Linked DNA regions of Arabidopsis thaliana. The protein of the gene in region 4 interacts with the protein of the main gene of each other region in a pairwise test. Each region holds a gene or a part of one and is shown on either strand. Other genes may lie near its edges.

What was found.
Region 1: the proteins of KRP2 (region 4) and CDKE;1 interact in a protein complementation assay, tested with the Arabidopsis thaliana proteins (one large-scale study listed by BioGRID).
Region 2: the proteins of KRP2 (region 4) and CYCH;1 interact in a protein complementation assay, tested with the Arabidopsis thaliana proteins (one large-scale study listed by BioGRID).
Region 3: the proteins of KRP2 (region 4) and CDKB1;2 interact in a protein complementation assay, tested with the Arabidopsis thaliana proteins (one large-scale study listed by BioGRID).

The regions. Positions count from the first base shown.
Region 1 is NC_003076.8:25,462,494-25,467,809, forward strand, and holds CDKE;1 (cyclin-dependent kinase E;1), read right to left. Parts: upstream 3,430-5,316; 5' UTR 3,230-3,429; intron 2,670-3,229; 5' UTR 2,565-2,669; coding exon 1,152-2,564; 3' UTR 869-1,151; downstream 1-868. Other genes in the region: AT5G63620 (GroES-like zinc-binding alcohol dehydrogenase family protein), read right to left, coding at 3,887-4,071, 4,194-4,371, 4,453-4,594, 4,688-4,901, 4,989-5,082, 5,167-5,236. UniProt on the Arabidopsis thaliana protein: Involved in cell differentiation. Required for the specification of stamen and carpel identities and for the proper termination of stem cells in the floral meristem.
Region 2 is NC_003076.8:9,769,417-9,775,735, reverse strand, and holds CYCH;1 (cyclin H;1), read right to left. Parts: upstream 4,434-6,319; 5' UTR 3,975-4,433; coding exon 3,915-3,974; intron 3,699-3,914; coding exon 3,648-3,698; intron 3,572-3,647; coding exon 3,493-3,571; intron 3,397-3,492; coding exon 3,284-3,396; intron 3,177-3,283; coding exon 3,103-3,176; intron 2,921-3,102; coding exon 2,800-2,920; intron 2,692-2,799; coding exon 2,623-2,691; intron 2,354-2,622; coding exon 2,312-2,353; intron 2,129-2,311; coding exon 2,051-2,128; intron 1,700-2,050; coding exon 1,641-1,699; intron 1,503-1,640; coding exon 1,418-1,502; coding exon of another isoform or gene 1,352-1,417; exon of another isoform or gene 1,333-1,351; coding exon 1,057-1,332; coding exon of another isoform or gene 1,052-1,056; 3' UTR 861-1,051; downstream 1-860. Other genes in the region: ALY1 (protein ALWAYS EARLY 1), read right to left, coding at 6,030-6,197, 6,312-6,319. UniProt on the Arabidopsis thaliana protein: Associates with CDK-2 and CDK-3 and activates the CDK kinases.
Region 3 is NC_003071.7:16,150,901-16,154,926, reverse strand, and holds CDKB1;2 (cyclin-dependent kinase B1;2), read right to left. Parts: upstream 2,455-4,026; 5' UTR 2,377-2,454; coding exon 1,743-2,376; intron 1,661-1,742; coding exon 1,591-1,660; coding exon of another isoform or gene 1,521-1,590; exon of another isoform or gene 1,436-1,520; coding exon 1,297-1,435; exon of another isoform or gene 1,154-1,296; coding exon 1,061-1,153; 3' UTR 841-1,060; downstream 1-840. Other genes in the region: AT2G38630 (Transducin/WD40 repeat-like superfamily protein), read left to right, coding at 40-310, 409-644. UniProt on the Arabidopsis thaliana protein: Together with CDKB1-1, promotes both the last division in the stomatal cell lineage as well as the number of stomata.
Region 4 is NC_003074.8:18,798,744-18,802,414, forward strand, and holds KRP2 (KIP-related protein 2), read left to right. Parts: upstream 1-1,562; 5' UTR 1,563-1,764; coding exon 1,765-2,091; intron 2,092-2,167; coding exon 2,168-2,229; intron 2,230-2,313; coding exon 2,314-2,481; coding exon of another isoform or gene 2,482-2,485; exon of another isoform or gene 2,486-2,550; coding exon 2,551-2,623; 3' UTR 2,624-2,852; downstream 2,853-3,671. UniProt on the Arabidopsis thaliana protein: Binds and inhibits CYCD2-1/CDKA-1 complex kinase activity. Regulates cell division which is crucial for plant growth, development and morphogenesis. May regulate early lateral root initiation by blocking the G1/S phase transition.

The DNA.
Region 1 (5,316 bases), on a different chromosome or scaffold from region 4:
ACAACTAGCTAGTTTGTAGCAAACGTAACGATCACGTTAATTAACAGCCTAATAATTGTATTATGGCAACGTCGTGGGTCCATTGTGTATCTTTAAATCATAAACCGTCTCATAACATTGGCCGCCATATATTTAAGAAATAAGAAAAATACAAAACTAGCTTTCTGACTTCTGCTAAAGACAAAAATAGCTAGGTTTAATTAAGAAGAAACTGTGTGATTGTGTCGATCTTGGTAGGTCAATGCTTCATATTTATACTAAATTGCTTGCAAACAGTGAGTTTTATCTTTAGCAGAAGTCAGAAGTCTGTTTGTGACTTCCACGATGCAGAATCACGTACAGTTTGTATAGCTTGGTTCACACATTTCAGGCTAGTTCAAGGTTTGTGGTTTTCTTATCCACTTATTTATTGTATTTGTCCTGAAACAAACAAGCATATATATAACTCTTCTTCGTTCTTTTGAATCTTAAATAAAAGTCATAATAATAGAAAAACATTTCTCATTCATTTGTTTGTGTTGTATATATATAATATTTCTATTATGAAACTGATGGTAAGGTGAACAAAAACAAAATTTTGATTTGGAAAAGTATTATGTTCGTAATAATTGGATCACTGCTTACGTAGTATAATTGAATACAAGTTTGAAAACATTATTTTACTAAAGTATAATCTTTTCAAACTTTAATAGCAATGTTTAAACTGTGTGGTATTAAATATTCATTAGGTCTATGATTGATGATGTAATTACATTAGATTCTAATGTATGTTGGTGGTAAATAGATAAGACTGGCAGGTAAAAAAAAAACAAATTTCATAAACAGTAGAAACATCACCAAAATTGTGTTCATAATAACTGTAAATTGTGTTCATAATAACTGTCTCATTATATATATTTTTCACTTGGCAAATCTCCTATTTACTACGTTTTGAGAAATGATGTTAAGAGAAATGATGATCTAATATAATTAACAAATACTTGAGAGGATGTTTATACAAAAACTACAGAGAATCCAATCCATCCATATGAATAGCAACATTCCACATGCTGCATTACAATCTAACTCTACTCTATAAAGCAAATCGCAACGCTTTCTTCTGCGGCAAACACACAGATTCTAACCCGAGACTGATGATCTCGATTTTACCTTTAGAGGCGTCTGGATTTGTTAGGAGGTGCGTAACCTGACATACCCATTCCGGGATCTTTCCTTCTTAGCTGTTGCTGCTGGTGCGGTTGAGCCATCCCGCGCTGCTGCTGCAGCGGAACACTCGGGTTAAGCCCTGCCTGTGCCGGGAAATTATAAGCCATCATGCCTTGAGATTGCTGCATCCTCTGCATGTTATGTGCAACCATTGGTCTTGGCATCGATCTACTGCCCATTCCATGAGCTCCTGCCATGTTCCCTGCTACGTTTCCTGCTGCTACTGCTTGAGGCGGATTGATGCTTGTCGTGCCTTCGAAATCGGTGTTTGTATCTACTGGACGAGTTGGGTAATTCACATTCTTCTCCATCGGTTGGCTGGCTACAAATGCGTTCCGTCCTGGGAGAGGATCCATTCGGAAATACTCGTGTTCTAGTGCTTGTGAAGCCGTGATCCGCTTTAGAGGATCATATTCCAGCATTTTGGATAACAGATCATACGCAGGACTTTTCTGATTCAGGTGAACCACGTTGTGGAGACCCACACTGTCGTATTTGTGAGCTTGAATGTGTTGAACATCATTTTGCCAGTGTGGAAGGTTAACTAGTGTTGGCCATTTATCCATCGTCGGGTGGCCTAAGATCTTGAATATCTTGTCAAGTTGATCTAACTGGAAAGGGTTTTGAGACGATTTCGCTTCTGCTCCTTGAAACAACGGTTTAAGAGTTAGTAACTCCGCGAATATACACCCAACTGCCCACATATCAACAGCGCTCGTGTAGTGCTTCGAACCAAGAAGCAGCTCTGGTGCTCGGTACCAGATTGTGACCACAACTCCGTTATCCGATAGTGGTTTCAACGGAGCTTGATATATCCTTGCGAGCCCGAAATCAGCTATTTTCACTATTCCGTGCTCTTCTGCATCACCCATAACCAAGATATTCGACGGTTTCAAATCTCTGTGTATAATCCAATTACTGTGAAGATAGTTCAATCCGTTGAGAAGCTGCCAGAGCAAAGACTTAACTGTGTATGTGTTTAACGAATGGCCGACTTTGTCTCTGTGGTGCCTGATGATTTCATAGAGATCGTACTCGGCATAATCAAAGGCAAGATACAGAGACATGTCTGCAAAATTGATGTGGACATTCACAAGCTTCACGACGTTCTCATGGGAAATCTCTCTAAGCAACATGATCTCGCGGATAGCAGTCGGGGAAACTCCATCTCCATCTTTGGACTGCTTAAACTTCTTGATAGCAATAGGTCTTTTAGGCGGAGTCTTGGTTCTAGCCAAGAAAACAAGACCATAAGTGCCTTCACCAATCTTACCAACGAGATTGTACTGTTGCAGCCACTCTGGTTTCTCACTAGTGCTGTTTGAGCTGTTGGATCTACTGGAACTCCCATCTCCCATTGCTTTTTAGTATTATTCTCTACCTCAATGTCCTTACCATGTGAATCGGAAAAGGGGTAGAGTCTAACAAAACAAAACAATCTTGGTTTCCTCTTTGTAGTTCTCCTGAAATTTGAACAAAACTTTGGAAAATCAGCCAAAGGAATCAAACCGTACATGTAATCTATCTAGATTCTAGACTCAATCAAGTGATCCAGAAAACTTACAAGCAAGAAACTTCACAGAAAAAGATCTAGGACTCCTCACAAACCAAATTCCAAAAGGAACGTTTCAAAATTAGCAGACAATAAAATTCACATCCCTCAGAAAACTTCATATGAACAAATTCAGACACAAAGACTCCAAATTATCAGCAATTGACGTCTTATCAAATCTCATATTCAAAATAGAATTCATCTACATCGAGACACGAAAGCTCGAGACTTTACTTCAAAAGATGGAAAAGGGATCAATCAATTCAGCAGAAATTACCAAGCTCCAAAGACCAATAACCAGAGGAAAACCCTACAAATTCAATACCCAGAGCTACGGTGCCCTAACCTAATCAAAGACCAAAAAATTTCGATACCACTTTCAAATTAAAAACTTCGAGGCCTTATACGATCTGTTTTTACATTTCTCAAAAATCGACGATCAGGAAAATAGAAATACGTAAAGGATCTGACCGGATAAGGCGGTCGGATGAATGATGGGAAGAGGAGCTGAGCTTGGAGAACCTCGGAGATGGAGGAGAGTAGACAAAAGCGAGAAAATTCCGGTGAGACGTCACGGAAGGGAGAAGATTGCGTTTTCCAGAAAACGGTGACGTTCCAAGCAGCCGACGCTGAGAATGGAAACTAGATTTGTAATTTTTTTAGCCACTTGCTCCAACTACGCTATTTATTTATTAGTAAATTCATTTATTTTTGTGTTCAAATAAGTAATTTCATTTAAATCATCGATATACATTAGTAGATTGGATATTTCTCATCAAAGATTTAATGATTTATAGATAATTTTATCAAAAGAGAAATAAATTGTGTTTTTTTATATATATGTCAGTTATTAATATTCTTAGAAAGTAGAAAATTGTGAAAAGAGGGAAGAAATTAAAAATATTAACAGTATAGAAAAACAATAAATGTTGGAAAGAAATGAAAAACAGTAAAATTATAAATTTTGTCCAGTTACTACAGTTTTTTTTTTTCCTTTTCACTGTCTAAACAAACACAAATATCAGATTAACAATGACCTTGTCTGAAGATTGTAGCAACTAAAAATAGACCTCAGTGAAACAGGTGTGAAGCAGTCATTCACAAACCAGAATCAAAAGGCTATATTGGTTATAGTATCTCAACAACACCTCGGCTCACGATTTTGCCTTCGTTGAGATCTTGAAATGCTTTTCCTGCATCTTCAAACTTGTATTTACTTGAGACTGCGTTTGTGAGATTGAAAATCCCTGACTCTGCCAATTTCACTACTTTAGGAAGATCCTGTCTTGCTCTTCCTCCATAAGATCCTATAACTTTTATCTTCACAAAAAATTGGAAAAACAGAACAAAAAGAGATTCAATATCATGATCTTAAAAGACAATCTCAGTACCAGAGACTTTCTTCTAACAAGGCCGAGAGAGAGAGAGTAAGAACCCCAAACCTTTCTACGAACAAGTCGATTTATGTCAATTTCTCCAACGGAACCAGCTTGTGAGAGTCCAATCATCACAGCTTTTCCACCATCTTTCACACTTAGTGTGCACTGCATGAAAGTTTGAGGCTTTCCCAAGGCTTCAACAGCAACATCAACACCCATCCCACCGGTTATTTCCTACGAAGAAGAAACAGTTTTTCATATTTATATCAATCAATGGTTCATCTTCACAAATAAGAGGTCTTGAATCAACCATACTCTTATCCTTTCAACAGCATCTTCTTTAGCAGCATTGACAATATGAGTAGCACCAAGTGTCTTGGCCTTCTGTAATTTATCATCCTGAACATCCACAGCAATGATATCCGAGGCTCCAAAAGCCCTTGCGATCTGCAAACAACTGAAGCAACAACTCAAAGATGGTTATGGTCATACAAGAAGCAATAAAACCCAAATCCGGTAAAGAAAAGAAAATGCCACACATTTAACATACCTGGAGCCCACACCACCAATTCCAATAACTGCAATAGAATCTCCAGGACGGATCTCAGCAGCATGAGCCATAGCACCATATGCTGTAAAAACAGCACATCCCAGAATGGCAGATTCAGAGTAGGGCAAAGACTCTGGTAGAGGAGCTAAACCATGAGCTGGTGTAACACAGTACTCAGCCATCCCTCCCATACTATACATATACACTGGTGAATCTGCCAGAAATTAAGAAATGTAATTAGGTAAAACAATCACAGTTCTCCTAATATGCCACCTGATGTTTAAAAAGTCTTCAAATTTACCATCATGTCGCAAAAAGAGACGAGTTTCGCCATCGTAAAGAGTTCCCTTGGCTCTGTTGTAAGCAAAGAAGTCTTCACATAGATCATCATGGCCCTGTATCCAAATTAAAATATCAGCTAAAAAGCTACAGTTCTCAGATTAGAGAATCCGATGAAAGCAATACAATTTCGTTCTCACCTTAGCACAATAAGAACAGGTTCCACAAGGCATAATGAAAGCTCCAACTACACGAGACCCGATTGGAAATCTGAAGAAAAGTTGAGACATTTAGGATTTCTTCAAAACATATGATTCCATTAGTGTGGAGGTGAAGTAAAGTTGACAAAC
Region 2 (6,319 bases), on a different chromosome or scaffold from region 4:
GTAGATTTGAAAAATATAGGATTTTGGCAATAAATATTTTAGTTGTAACTAAAAATTATGATTAAGAAATATTTGAATTTTATATTTATAAATTACCTTTTTTCAAAATGAGAAAATTGTATATCATAATTACTAAAATTATTTAATAGCAATTATAAAATAAAAACACAAATTGAATTATGCACATCTAGGTAGATGGAATATATATAAATTATTTAATAACAATTTTATAATAAAAACACAAAAAGAATTCTGCACATCTAGGTAAATGGAATCTATATAAATTTATAAATTATTTGTCTAAATGTATAAAATACTTTATCTGTTATTCATATAACTACATTTTAGATTATTAGTTGAAAATAATCGTGACAAAAAGTTAGAGGAGAGAAAAAAAAAAAAAAATCTACAAAAAAAAAAAAATCTACAACACAAAATAGGATGTAGAAAATTAAAGATTTACAGTCAAAACAAAAAGATTTTTTTTGGGGCTCTAAGTTAAAGAAAAAAACTATAACATAATTGGCAACAATTTAGTCTTTAACAAATATATTATGGCTGTAAAAGACATTTAGCACAACCAATCAAGCATCTTTACAAGTTTCATTCACAATCCAAATTTTATTTTCGATGGTTTTTGGTTATTTAATACAAATTTTCATTGTTATTATTAGGATTTGATAGTTACCGCTACACTAGTCATATCCATTTGTTTCTGTGTAAGAACAGATGTGGTAGTAACTAGAAAGTATCAAAATGTCTGGAAAAACTTTTGATCATGTAAAAAGTTGATCATTATCGCAAACAAACCATTTTTGACGATTGTTATGTACACCAAAACTTAAAATAAATGGAAGTTTTGTTATAAATTCATTAACATCTTCAGAATAAACAAAACTTATGGCCAATATCATTGTTATACATAATCTGCTCAAATTTACTAGTAAGAACAACAACGGGGAAGAAACTATAAAAGACGAATTTCTCATTCAATAAGATTAAAACTAAACCAAAGTGCAAAGGAAGAATTGCTAATGGCAGTACGAGAAACTCAACCTATGGGTGGCGGTGCCCCGTTTGGTGTATCATTGGAGCTCCTATGGGACTTGTGTTTTGATCTCTTCTCCCGTTTCTTACTCCTGATGAAGATAAATAGAGAAGGGAGTCAATTGCAGAAGCAAAGCTTATGAAATATATATAGTGGTTAAAAGAATTAGTAGAAGAGAGGTTGTTAGTGTACTCGTCATGTGAAGAACTATGTCCTAGACAAGATTTTAGCTTCCGGTTGATATGCTTCATGTCCTTTTCACTTGGGCACTTGTAGTTCTTTACCTGAGATAAGAGAGAGCATCTAGTAAAACTTCCTTTTAGATATGCAAGTTTCATTGTTAAGATAATTATGGAAGTTAGTAAATACCAAATATTCGATGTTATCAAGTAACTTTGTAAGCTCTGAAGTCGTGTGCTCAGAGTTCGGTTGAGAAACAATGTTCTCTAGGTACCTGCACCAAATGCAGTTTAGTTGAAAATACAACCAGTAAAAAGCTTTGCATATACAGAAATTCAAGACCACGAGATTAATATCATGGAAAGATTAAAAGGGTAAATAATCGGGATGGATATAGAATAAGAGAAATAACCTATCAAAGTCAATCACTCCAAGAACCCCATTTGCAATACGTAACGACGCCAATGCCAACTACAAGGGCACACGTTCAAGAGTTGAGAGACAGTACAACAATTTGTGATACTTCTTTTGTTACATATACGCTAAAGAAAAACGAAAAATCCTGAAAGAAGGAACAAGGTGAGTATATATCGATAAGCTATACTACTATATCATAAACATTCATTAATTTCACTTAAATATCAGTCAAAGAGAAAACAAAGCACCAACTTTCATCCTAAATTTATGTCTTGAGTAGCATATTTAAAGCTTTACTGAAATATCCCAAACAATGAGTTTAACCAGATTCTTTGATGGATATTATTCAGTATCTTTAATCTGATAATAAGAGGCTAGGGAGACAAAATAAACTAGCATGCCCACCTGGCCAGGAGGAAAGAGGAGTGGAGCATCTGTGAGCATAACTTTATCGGCTTCTGCTGTCGCCCCTTTGAGCAAACTCTGCAGAATACTTGAAAAGTTATGCCAGTATGAGAAAATAATATTTCAATAAAGCCTGTTAAGTAAATAGACTTACAGCTATGATCACAAACTTACACTAAAATTTACATTTTGATCCCACATTCAGTTACCACATGCTTAAAATCTAGTGAAGATAAAGGAAATATCTGAAGATAGATCTACCTCTAGTTTTTGGATTTCATCATCTCTAGCTTGAAGAAATTCCTATAGGATGAAAAGATGAGGTTACTTTTGAAGATAGCGTGAAGTTCAACAAGGATGAAAAATAACACACCGAAAAAAGTATTGAAAATCTTGGTATATCCTATTATGGTTCACCAAGTTCTTGGCGTTAAGTTAACATTCAGAATTTTGTTTGCAACAAAACAATTGCCAATAAACTGAAAAAGAGTCTCATCACTATAAGATGTAAACAGAGAAAAGCCAGTTGAAATAAGAAAACCTACTAAGAAATTTAGACAGGACTGATTTACCTCCATGTTGTTGACAAAACCTTCGATTGCACGATACGGTGCATAAACAATCAGATCAAATTCCAAACTCTGCACATAGAGTTAATATAATATGAACAAAAGAATAGAGAGAGAAAAGAACACCAGGGAAAAATAAACATAGGGAAGTTGGTACAAATTAATTGACTCATATCATACCTGAAGAACAGCCATCTCGTACTTGAGAATTATTCGGTGATCTTGGTTAATCCCTTTCCCAATTTCCTCAGCAGATACATGATTCTCCTCTATTTTACAAGCTGCATACACACAGGTTAACCTGTTCAATGAAAGGTAACAATTAGTCCAAATTACAACAATGGACCATTTATGACTGACTTAAAAAGCCTCTCAGAGCTCAGAAATACAAAATGCTTAGCTCCATTTGGTAAACAATTTCAAAACTATTCTCTTGAAAAAAGCAAAGCTTTTGACCATTTTGAGGATTTAAAAGAACTATACATTATCTCTTTTGGATGATGTTGCATAACAGACCATTGCAGATAAAATCTCTTAAAGTATTGGAGGGCTGTTGCCTGCAAAATATTAGAAGGAAGAAACATAAATTCAGAGAGCAAACAAAAATCAGGTATTTTATTTTTAACTTCATCATAAACTTCTATCTCGACGAGTAGAAATGCACCTGAATCTTGTGAGGAAATGCAAAGGCACTGCACACTTCTTGGACCTTTGCCTCATAAAATGCTCTCATGAACCTTTCTTCATCAGCACTCAAAGGCTTAAGCTTCTTATCAGCTGAGAGTAACAAAGCAAAAAGTAACATTATTTAAACTTCGACAAACAAAACTATGATACGTATGAAGTAGATATTGAAGGAACCAAAATTTTTACCTTGATCTCCTGAACCAACTTTATCTTTAGGATATGTTAGTGATCCACTAGCATCTACTTCAACTTGAGTTGTTCCACACTATGAATAACAATAAGTTAAAATCTAAACATGAATACAGGACTAAAGCTCCATATCAACAATTATTCTAACAAACCTTCTCCAGCATTTGCACTGCCCTCTGGTTAGCAGCTTTATATCTCTCTGCCTACAATTACAACATTACAGCTTAGTTGCAATACCAATATCTCTACACAACAAGTAAGATAATAACAACAACAACACACATAACTAAGTAACAAAGAGTTCCAAATGCTCGATTAATCCGACTCTCTATGAAGCAATCAAAGCAAAGAAAATCCAAAGATGAACAAAATATAATTATAAAGCCGCATTGTAGTGATCAGAAGGAGAAGGGGATTACCAGTTTCTGGGGAGTGAAAATCCACTTGGCCCGTTGTGTTGATGTCTGAAAATCCGCCATTAACTGAGTTTTCAAAATTTTCGAAATCGAAAAATCTGAGCTTTCGAATTTCTTTGTGGAAAGTTCAGATTTTTGATCGAATTCACACGCTGTTGATGGCGATTATCCGTCTGAATCGGAAGGAGATTCTATAGATATTTCAATTTTGAATTTTAGGGCTTATATTAGAATTTAGGAGAAAAAATTATCTGGTGCTCGATTTGAATGGAGATTGGAATTGGATTGAGTTAGCTACGAGAAGAAGATGTTTTTGGTAATGAGAAGACGAGAATGAGGGAAGAGAGGAGAGCAGACGCAATATCTTGTCGGAATTCAGATGTGAAGACGAGTATGAAGGGAAAAAGAGGAGAGTACGGCAGAGCAATACAGTGTTAATGTCGGAAGTTGCTCATACGGCGAGATCGTTCCTGGCTTTGAGACTTGCGAGGAAGAAGAAACGTTGGTGAAACGACGTTCTTTCATGTTAAACAATAAACCCTAAGGTCAAACGATGTCGTTTAGCAAACATATTTATTATAAACGGTGTCGTTCGCTAACCCATTAAAACCCTTATTAACAGCCCTTTACTAACAAAAAAAAGAACAAGAATTTTCCAACCAAAAATAAGGTCATGGCTTAAATTTATGTTTCCAACCCTTAATAACACCCATACATGTGTCCAATTTATAGAATCTAAGTAAAAGTATAATATAGTGTTAATCAATCATTTTTTGAGTTTGACTCACGATTTTAGTTAGGTCTGGACATTCGGATTTTCGGGTCTGTTTAGATTGGGTTTTTGGGTTACTTTGGTAAAGAGATTGAAAATACATTTAGGAACTGAAAATATCGGTTGAGGTCTATTCGGGTTCGGGCTGGTTCTCAAATTTAATTGAAACCTGATATTGAACCTGAATTTACCGACAAATTATGTATACGTATTATTTCGAGTTACATGTATCCGTTTGAGTTTCGATATTTCAGGTATCTGTTCAGGTTTCAGATCCTACACGAACCAAACCAAAACCCCAAAATAAACACTTTAGATCCACTCGAACCAAAGCGAACTAGGTTTTTCGGGCTTCGGATTTTATGGTCATGCCTAGTTTTGTCCTTTGAAACATTAAAATTAGAAGTAAATCTACATATACATTTTTGCAGCCATTTTAGCAAATAAATTTTGTACTTGTATTTACAATGTCATGCCATTGACATTAAATATTTCCTGTCGATAATTAAATACAAGATATTATATTCAACAATAGTTGCCAAAGATCTTTCAAGATATATAATTGGTATTAATTATTCAGATTTGAAAATTTAAATACTTTATATTGCGCTCAACAAACGTTTCCAAAAATCTTTCCAACTTAAGTAAAAAATAATTATTATTTTTAAATATTATAGATATATTTTAACTTTATAAAACATTATTATTATTTAAACTTATAAAAAAATATCATGAGATGAGAAATATAGCGGGACGGGTTTGGATTGATATGAAATATAGTGGGACGAGTTTGGATTGATATAGCACATGTTAAATATTTATTTTATTATTTTATCATCACCATTTGTTTTAGTTATAACATTAATATAAAATTATAAAACTTAAATACTAAATTAAAAACCGTAAAATTTAATATTATTATATATGAATAAAACATTTGTCCGTGGTACACCACAGGTTAAATCCTAGTTGTTATTAAAGGTATTTCAAACATATCCATTTGGCATTGTTCTAGAATTTTAGTTAAGGAATAGTATATATTTGAGATTTTGTATTAAGGTGGGAATAAATTATTTCAGCCATTAGGATCCAAAATGACCCAAGAAAATAATCACTGAGAAAGAAAGAAAAAAAAAACAGCTCCAAAGTAAAAGGTAACCAAAGTTACAATGAATGATGACAAAAAAAAGTTACAGAATCAATGGTAACTAATTATCAACAGCCTTTGGAGCTGTTCAAATTATTAACTAACTATAAACTAAACTAACCTCTACAATCCAAACAATTAAATCTGATCTCCAAGTGTTATCTTCGATGTCAGGTTAATTACAAAGGACACAAATGTTTCATGACGTTCTTACAAGAGCCATTATTTGAGTCTTGATCAATCCCATACAAGTTTGAATTTCTCTGTATATCGGCATATTCTGTGGACACCGTGGCTGCAAGTCATTCACTACTGTATCCATTAGCTGAGCCACATCTGCTGGTGGGTACTGCTTCTTTGAGATCATCTGCAGGTAAATAACACACAAAGAGTTCTAATCAAAACCGCATCAAGTGAAAACTTTGGTATTCTTGATTTAGATTACACTTTCGTTAGTCCAAGACAAAATTATTTCCTTTACCTGCATCA
Region 3 (4,026 bases), on a different chromosome or scaffold from region 4:
GTGTTTTTATGTTTCTAATAGAGTTTTATGTTCTTAAAGGTTCGAAATGCTGAGCTGATAGAAGTTAGCAGAACTGACTTCATGACACCATCAGCATTCATATTTTTGTATGAGAATCAGTTGTTTCTAACATTCAGGAACCGAAATGTTTCTGTGTGGAATTTCCGCGGAGAGCTTGTGACCTCGTTTGAGGATCATCTTCTTTGGCATCCAGACTGTAACACAAACAATATCTACATAACAAGCGATCAAGATCTGATCATCTCATATTGCAAGGCAGATACTGAAGATCAGTGGATAGAAGGAAATGGTAAGTAGACTCATCATCCACTCTTCAAATCAAGAAACCTCATGGTCTGATTTTGTTTTGCTATTGAGACATTGTCGTGATTTTGGTTGTTGATGTAGCGGGGTCGATTAACATAAGCAATATCTTGACTGGTAAATGCTTAGCTAAGATAAAAGCAAATAATGGTCCTCCTAAGGAAGAGGACTGCAGCAGTAGTGATTTGGGGAATTCCTCTCGAAGGAGAAGTGCGGTTGCTGAGGCTTTGGAAGACATAACCGCTCTCTTCTACGACGAAGAACGGAATGAAATATACACAGGAAACAGACACGGCCTCCTCCATGTCTGGTCTAATTGAAGCTACTCATCATTTGTTTTGTTTTTTTTACATTAATACAAGAGATCTCTGTATCTTGTTCTGTTTCTCAATTGTGTAATATCATGAGATATGTAATTTACTTGTGTGTTTGAGTAGCAATTGTCGTTGTAATGAAACAGCAAATATTTCAAATTCGTCTCTCATTTATGTACACTAATGATTTGTCTGCTTAATAGGGTTAACCATTTTTGCTTTGATAGACTTGTTTACATGAACAAATAAAATTGGCCACTTAAAGAAGATTCTCTCACTCTCGCTGAACAAACAAGGTTTTCAGATTGTTTAGTTTAAGTACAAATCTTTCTAAAGCACACAGCATAAGACACCAAGACAATAAACTTGAGCCATCAGCTTCAGAACTCCAAAGAGAAGCCTGATCAGTAATTTGGCAGAGGTCAGAACTGAGATTTGTCAAGGCTGTCAAAGTAGGGATGATCGAGAGCTGCTTTTGCTGAAATTCTTTCTGCTGGATTGTACTTCAACATTTGCTGCAATTGTTCAAAGGTTCAAAACAAATTATCATCAACTAGGAACGAACCCCAACAGAAAGAATCTACTAAAGAGATCAAGTATGCAAGAGAATCTTAGGCCACTTCTCCAACAATGGTCATATTTTAGAAAAGAGCATTACCGTGAGAAGATCAATTCCTTCAGGAGATAGAGATGGAACAGCACGTGATAAGTCTTGCGGCTCCCACTTTGGATAGACATGCCAGTCACGCAATGCCATTACACCCGGCCATTGCTGCTCAGTTGGTGTTCCTAACAATCTCCAGAACCCAAAACAAAACCATACTTCAGATATATTGATACTAGACAGTCCCCATAATCCAAATGAGTTCACGAGTACTGAACCTAATGGGCTAAAGTCCTAAACTGGTTCCTGTATACATACACATTGGCATCAAAAACAAGAAGCAAATACCTGAAAATATGAAGTAGTTGCTGAAACTCAGAATCACCAGGGAAAAGAGCTTGCCTCCTAATCATCTCGGCTACAAAAAAATGGGGAAACATCAGTAATCCAAACAGTAGAACAAAAGACCATTAAAAGAGACATAGTAGCTGATTACTAACCAAAGATGCATCCAACAGACCAAATATCAACAGCAGTAGAGTAATGAGTAGAACCAAGCAAAACTTCAGGAGCTCTATACCAAAGAGTAACAATCTCATGTGTATAAGCCTTAAGAGGCACAGTAAAAGCACGACTAAGACCCAAATCAGCAATCTTAAGAATCCCTTTATCCTTATCCAATAGAAGATTCTGCGGTTTAAGATCACGGTGAAGCACACCATGGCTATGACAATGAGCCACACCTTTAAAAAGCTGAAACATAAACCTCTGCACAAGAGAAGCCTCAAGCGGTCTAGGATTCGAGCCCTTTCTATGAGAATCTATAAATTTCTTGAGATCAGTGTCGAGATACTCAAAAACGAGATAGAGATTGGATTTGGGAGAGTGAGAAACAGTCGAATCTTTCGATTGAATAACATGTTCGACGCAGAGGAGACGAACGATGTAGATTGATTGAGAAAGCATTTGGAGAAGAGAGATCTCACGGAGAGCCGTTGGTGGTATACCTTCTTCGTCCATTTCGAGCCTAGTTTTCTTCAGAGCGACGAGTTTTCCGGTGGTTTTCTCCATTGCTTTGTAGACTTTTCCATAGGTTCCTTCACCGACCTTTTCGAGCTTCTCGTATTTCTCCATTGATGGAGGATTTTGAATTGAGACTGATGAATGTTTTTTGTTTGGGTCTTATAAACCCTAAAGCCCCTTTTCGATTTTAGATCTGGTAAATAAAGGCGCCTCTTTGCTATAACGTTTAACATTTGAATCCCTCGCACGCTTCACACGTACCAATAATATTTTATTAGTCAAAGACTCAAAGTCATTTTAAACAGATAAGTATAGTATAAGATATTTGCTTGATTATGTTTATAGATTTCAATTCATTATCCATGGTGAATGTTTAGTTGAATGAATCTATGCATGATCTTTGATGTAAAGCCGGCCCTGAGTACAAAAAGCTAAGCTCATGCTTGCAGCCACAACCCATAATAAAGATTTTTCAGTCATTTATTTTGCTAAACTATTAATATTACTTGAAGAGTCGATCATTTCGCATTAATTGGTTGAAACTTCGAGCTTTTCCAACTTCATTTTAACTTTAATCTAGTATTTAACATACTAATTAATAAGACTATAACTGTTTTAGCTTGTATCCCATTAGTTTTCTCCTTATACGTTAATGTTCAATGTTTGGCACAAACTCAAAAAAAGAATTTCTTACTACGTAGTTTTTTTTCACTTACTCAACCAATTGGAAAAATGTTTAGGTTTGATTTTTTGTGTTCGAATTTGTAACTTCAATTATTTTGGGACTGTGAACTCTTACTCATTATTCATTAATGGTGGGTTGTTTCTTGTGTTCTAGGCTTCTAGTATACATGATTCAACTTCATATGATATTGATTCAGTTTCACATTTTTGATTTATTTCAACTTTATATTCTTCTTACACTCATTCCAATTTCATGTATGGTAATTGCATCAGTTTTGATCGATAGTTACATTAAGAAAACCATTTCTTTTTACAATAAAGATACTACAACAACAACAAAAATTCTGACTAGGTCTACGAATGTGCAAGGTATGCAATTTCACAAACTCATAAAAATCATCATAAGAAGTTCTATGTAAAGGGGAAAGAAAAACAAGATTATAAACAAATTGTGTGTTTCATGTGGAAACTAAACAATGGCTGAATATTAAAAAATTATTGGACTACTATACATAAAAGAAAATTACAATAATGAAAAAGAAAACAAAGATAATATTCAATGATAGGGCATTGACTAAACGAAAGAAAATGGCTTAAAGACTTTAAAGTTGATTATGAAAAACCGTTACTGATTTACTAGGGTCAATAAACTTATTTGCAACCATTTTATTAAGGGAATTTAATGAAAAAAACCGTCAGCTTTGGTCAGATCTATTTTTAAATTCTGAACTATGTTTTTAGTAAAACAAACTCTGAACTAAAACCTGTTAATAAACTTAACCCCATAGTAATTAAATATTAATGGGATATTAATTTCCAAAAATCGACCAAAGAACAATGACAGAATCCGTGATCCAACTGAAGATCGTCCACCTCAAAAAGTTCTTTATACACGTGAAAAAGTTTAAATGGTAAAATAGAGAACAATGAATTATGTTTCACAAGATCTTCATTTTCAAATTATTAAATTTAATCTTTGCATATTTAGACTTGCAGCAATTGTCAACAAGTCGGACACAACAAACGTTCATGCAAGTGTAAAGCAATGCCAAAACCACCCAAGAAACCTCAAGGACG
Region 4 (3,671 bases):
TCTTTTGAAGTCAACAACATATATTATGCGAATTTTTAAACTACATTATATGTTTAGCTCACTATTTTATTTTGAATATCTCATAAGTATGTATATATACTTACACATTGTTATAGTGAGTGTAAAAAAGAGAGAGACAGTTTAGTAATGATTGAGTATGCAGCTCGTGGGCACATTATTAAATTGAATGGTATGATGGATATGCGCAGACACTGTCTTGTGTGAACTCAAGAATCGATACAGAACGACGGCATTAAAAAAAAAGAAAAAATTCAATATAAGACGAAAATGATGATGGAAAAAAATTCTTTTATTTTTACCAACGAAATGTATGCGATATGAACTAGTAGTATTTAATTCACTGTGTGAATTAGTAGTAATATTTAAGCATGTGAATATGTTTGTGTACGTATTGTATTGCCACAACAAAACAGCATGTCGCAGCATTGATTTCATTATCACCTAACCGTTAAATACGTCATGGCCCTAGACTTAATGTATTTTAGACTTAATGTATTTTATACCTTATTTTGATATGTGTACGGTCGACCCCCTCACAAAATTGAAATATTACGACTATGCATTGAAAAACTATACACAACTACATTGTCAAATACTGATAAGATCTTAACACAGAAACACATATTATCACTAATAATGTAACGTGACAACATTACATTGCTTTACACACATTTTTTTTAATCTATTTAAGATGATTGGATGATATTGTCATTTTTCTCTATAAATCTAAGATTTTTATTGTCTTTATAATCTAAATTCGCAATTATTACAACAAAAAATTATCAAATCTAAATTTATTTTTAAAATCCACGATAATTATTCTCATTCTATTTCATTGGAAACACCAACCAATTATTTTAAAAAACAGAAAACATATTAATTAAAAAATTGAATTCAAATTCTATTTACCATTCTAAAAAAAAAATTATGCACTGATTCTGTAAACGTTGACACCGTTAACGTAGTCGTAGATATGCACTGATTCTGTAAACGTTGACACCGTTAATGTAATCACATCGAATAAAAGACATATGTTGATCGTGTAAAGGTATAAGATACTCGATCTATAACATCGTTGTCAAATTCCATGTTGCATATACATTATATTGCTTTACACACATTTTTTTATCTATTTGATCGTCTGTGAATTAATATGATAATTTGATGGTATTATTGTTATCTTTATAATATAAATTCGTAATTATTATAACAAAAAATAAACAGTTTTATCTTAATATCCACAATAATTATTTTCATTCTCGTTGATTTATTGGAAAAGCCAGCCAATTATATTAAAATAAATAAAAACAACATATTAATTCAAAAAAATTTGAATTCAAAAAAATTTATCATTCTAAAGTAACTAGATATGCACTAATTGCACTGATTTTGTAAACTTTGAAACTATTAATGTAATCGTAACGAATAAAAGACACGTATCAATCGTGTAAGGTATAAAATACTCGATTTTTAACGGCGCCGTCAAATTCTCCGTTACATATTAAAAGAATTACTATTCCTACTTCACACGAGGCTTTATATGAAAATGACAAGAGTTAATCGTGGCCGTTAACAAATTACGATCAAAACGAAGATCGTCACCATCTTATAACAGAATAACCCAAATGGTACGCGAGCTAGAGACTCTCTAGTAGAGAGAAAGAGAGAGAAACACAAACACGCACACATAACGAGTGATTTTAGAGAGAGATAGAGATCTGGAAGGTGACGTCGTAGGAGATTATGGCGGCGGTTAGGAGAAGAGAACGAGATGTGGTTGAAGAGAATGGAGTTACGACGACGACGGTGAAACGAAGGAAGATGGAGGAGGAAGTGGATTTAGTGGAATCTAGGATAATTCTGTCTCCGTGTGTACAGGCGACGAATCGCGGTGGAATTGTGGCGAGAAATTCAGCAGGAGCGTCGGAGACGAGTGTTGTTATAGTACGACGGCGAGATTCTCCTCCGGTTGAAGAACAGTGTCAAATCGAAGAAGAAGATTCGTCGGTTTCGTGTTGTTCTACATCGGAAGAGAAATCGAAACGGAGAATCGAATTTGTAGATCTTGAGGTGACAACGAAAGCATTATTTATCGAAACTGAATTTTGATTTACAGATTTTGAAATTTTTGAATTCGTTTTTCCAGGAAAATAACGGTGACGATCGTGAAACAGAAACGTCGTGGATTTACGATGATTTGAATAAGAGGTTTGTTTAATTTGTTACAGATATTAAAATTTTGAATCAGTAACAAACATTTCTATAAAATGTCTTTGATTTTTTTGTGTATAGTGAGGAATCGATGAACATGGATTCTTCTTCGGTGGCTGTTGAAGATGTAGAGTCTCGCCGCAGGTTAAGGAAGAGTCTCCATGAGACGGTGAAGGAAGCTGAGTTAGAAGACTTTTTTCAGGTGGCGGAGAAAGATCTTCGGAATAAGTTGTTGGAATGTTCTATGAAGTAAGTTTTTTTTTTTTGATTCAAATCTTTTAATCGAATTTTTGAAACTGATAATGAATTTGTTGTTAGGTATAACTTCGATTTCGAGAAAGATGAGCCACTTGGTGGAGGAAGATACGAGTGGGTTAAATTGAATCCATGAAGAAGACGATGATGATAATGATGATCATTGTTTTCACCAAAGTACTTATTATTTCTCTTCTGTAATAATCTTTGCTTTGATTTTTCTTTTAACAAAATCCAAATGTAGATATCTTTCTCTCGAATAATCAATAACATGTAATTCAACTTTTGTTTGTACTTCCTTGAGGTAATTAATTAGATTCGTGTTTTTCTCGATTAATAAACTATAAGTTTATAACTCTAAGAGTAATTATAATTGTTACTGAAAACTAAATAGCTTCTATTATTTCTATGTATCAATTATCATACAGTATTTGATTTTTTTTTTTTAACAATGAAAAGAGAGTGTAGAGCAGAACAAAAAAGGGTCACGGCTGACGTGGTAAAGGAATATAACTGTTTATTGATCAGGCTTTTTCAGTAAAAAAGTTACTATTTTATTCTCACTTGGATTGGATTGTAGGTGCTACTCTAGTGATTAACTACGAACTTGTTTGTGCTTTACAAGTTATTAAACTAAAATATTGTACTATCTCCTTGCATTTTACAAATTTAGCTATTTGAAATTATATATTTTTTAAAAATAAAATAGCTTAAATATACACTTCCAGTTTTTCCCTCTCAATTTCTTTCAACAAAGTAACTATTTTGAGTTGTATTATTTTATTTTCCTAATTTATCTATCTAATATAACATGGATATTAGATATGGTTGGTGTACCTAACGCCTATAATTTATACTCGATTAGCAACAACCAAAAAAAAGAAGAAGAAGAAGAAGAAGTTGAGTCATTTAAATCTCTGTAAGAGAAATGATTTACGGTCTTTAAAAACTAGTCCTGGACCAAAAAATGGACCTAAAGATCAGAACTTATTTGTTTAGAAAAATGAAGTTAGAATGAAGTTGAGTCATTTAAATCTCTGTAAGAAAAATGATTTACATAGTTAAAGCTACTCCTGGACCAAAAAATGGATCTAAAGATCAGAATTATTTGTTAAAAAAATAAAAAATACAGATAGATATGATTGGTGTTTATTTCCGGGTCGCTTTCTACGAGTAAAGAAATG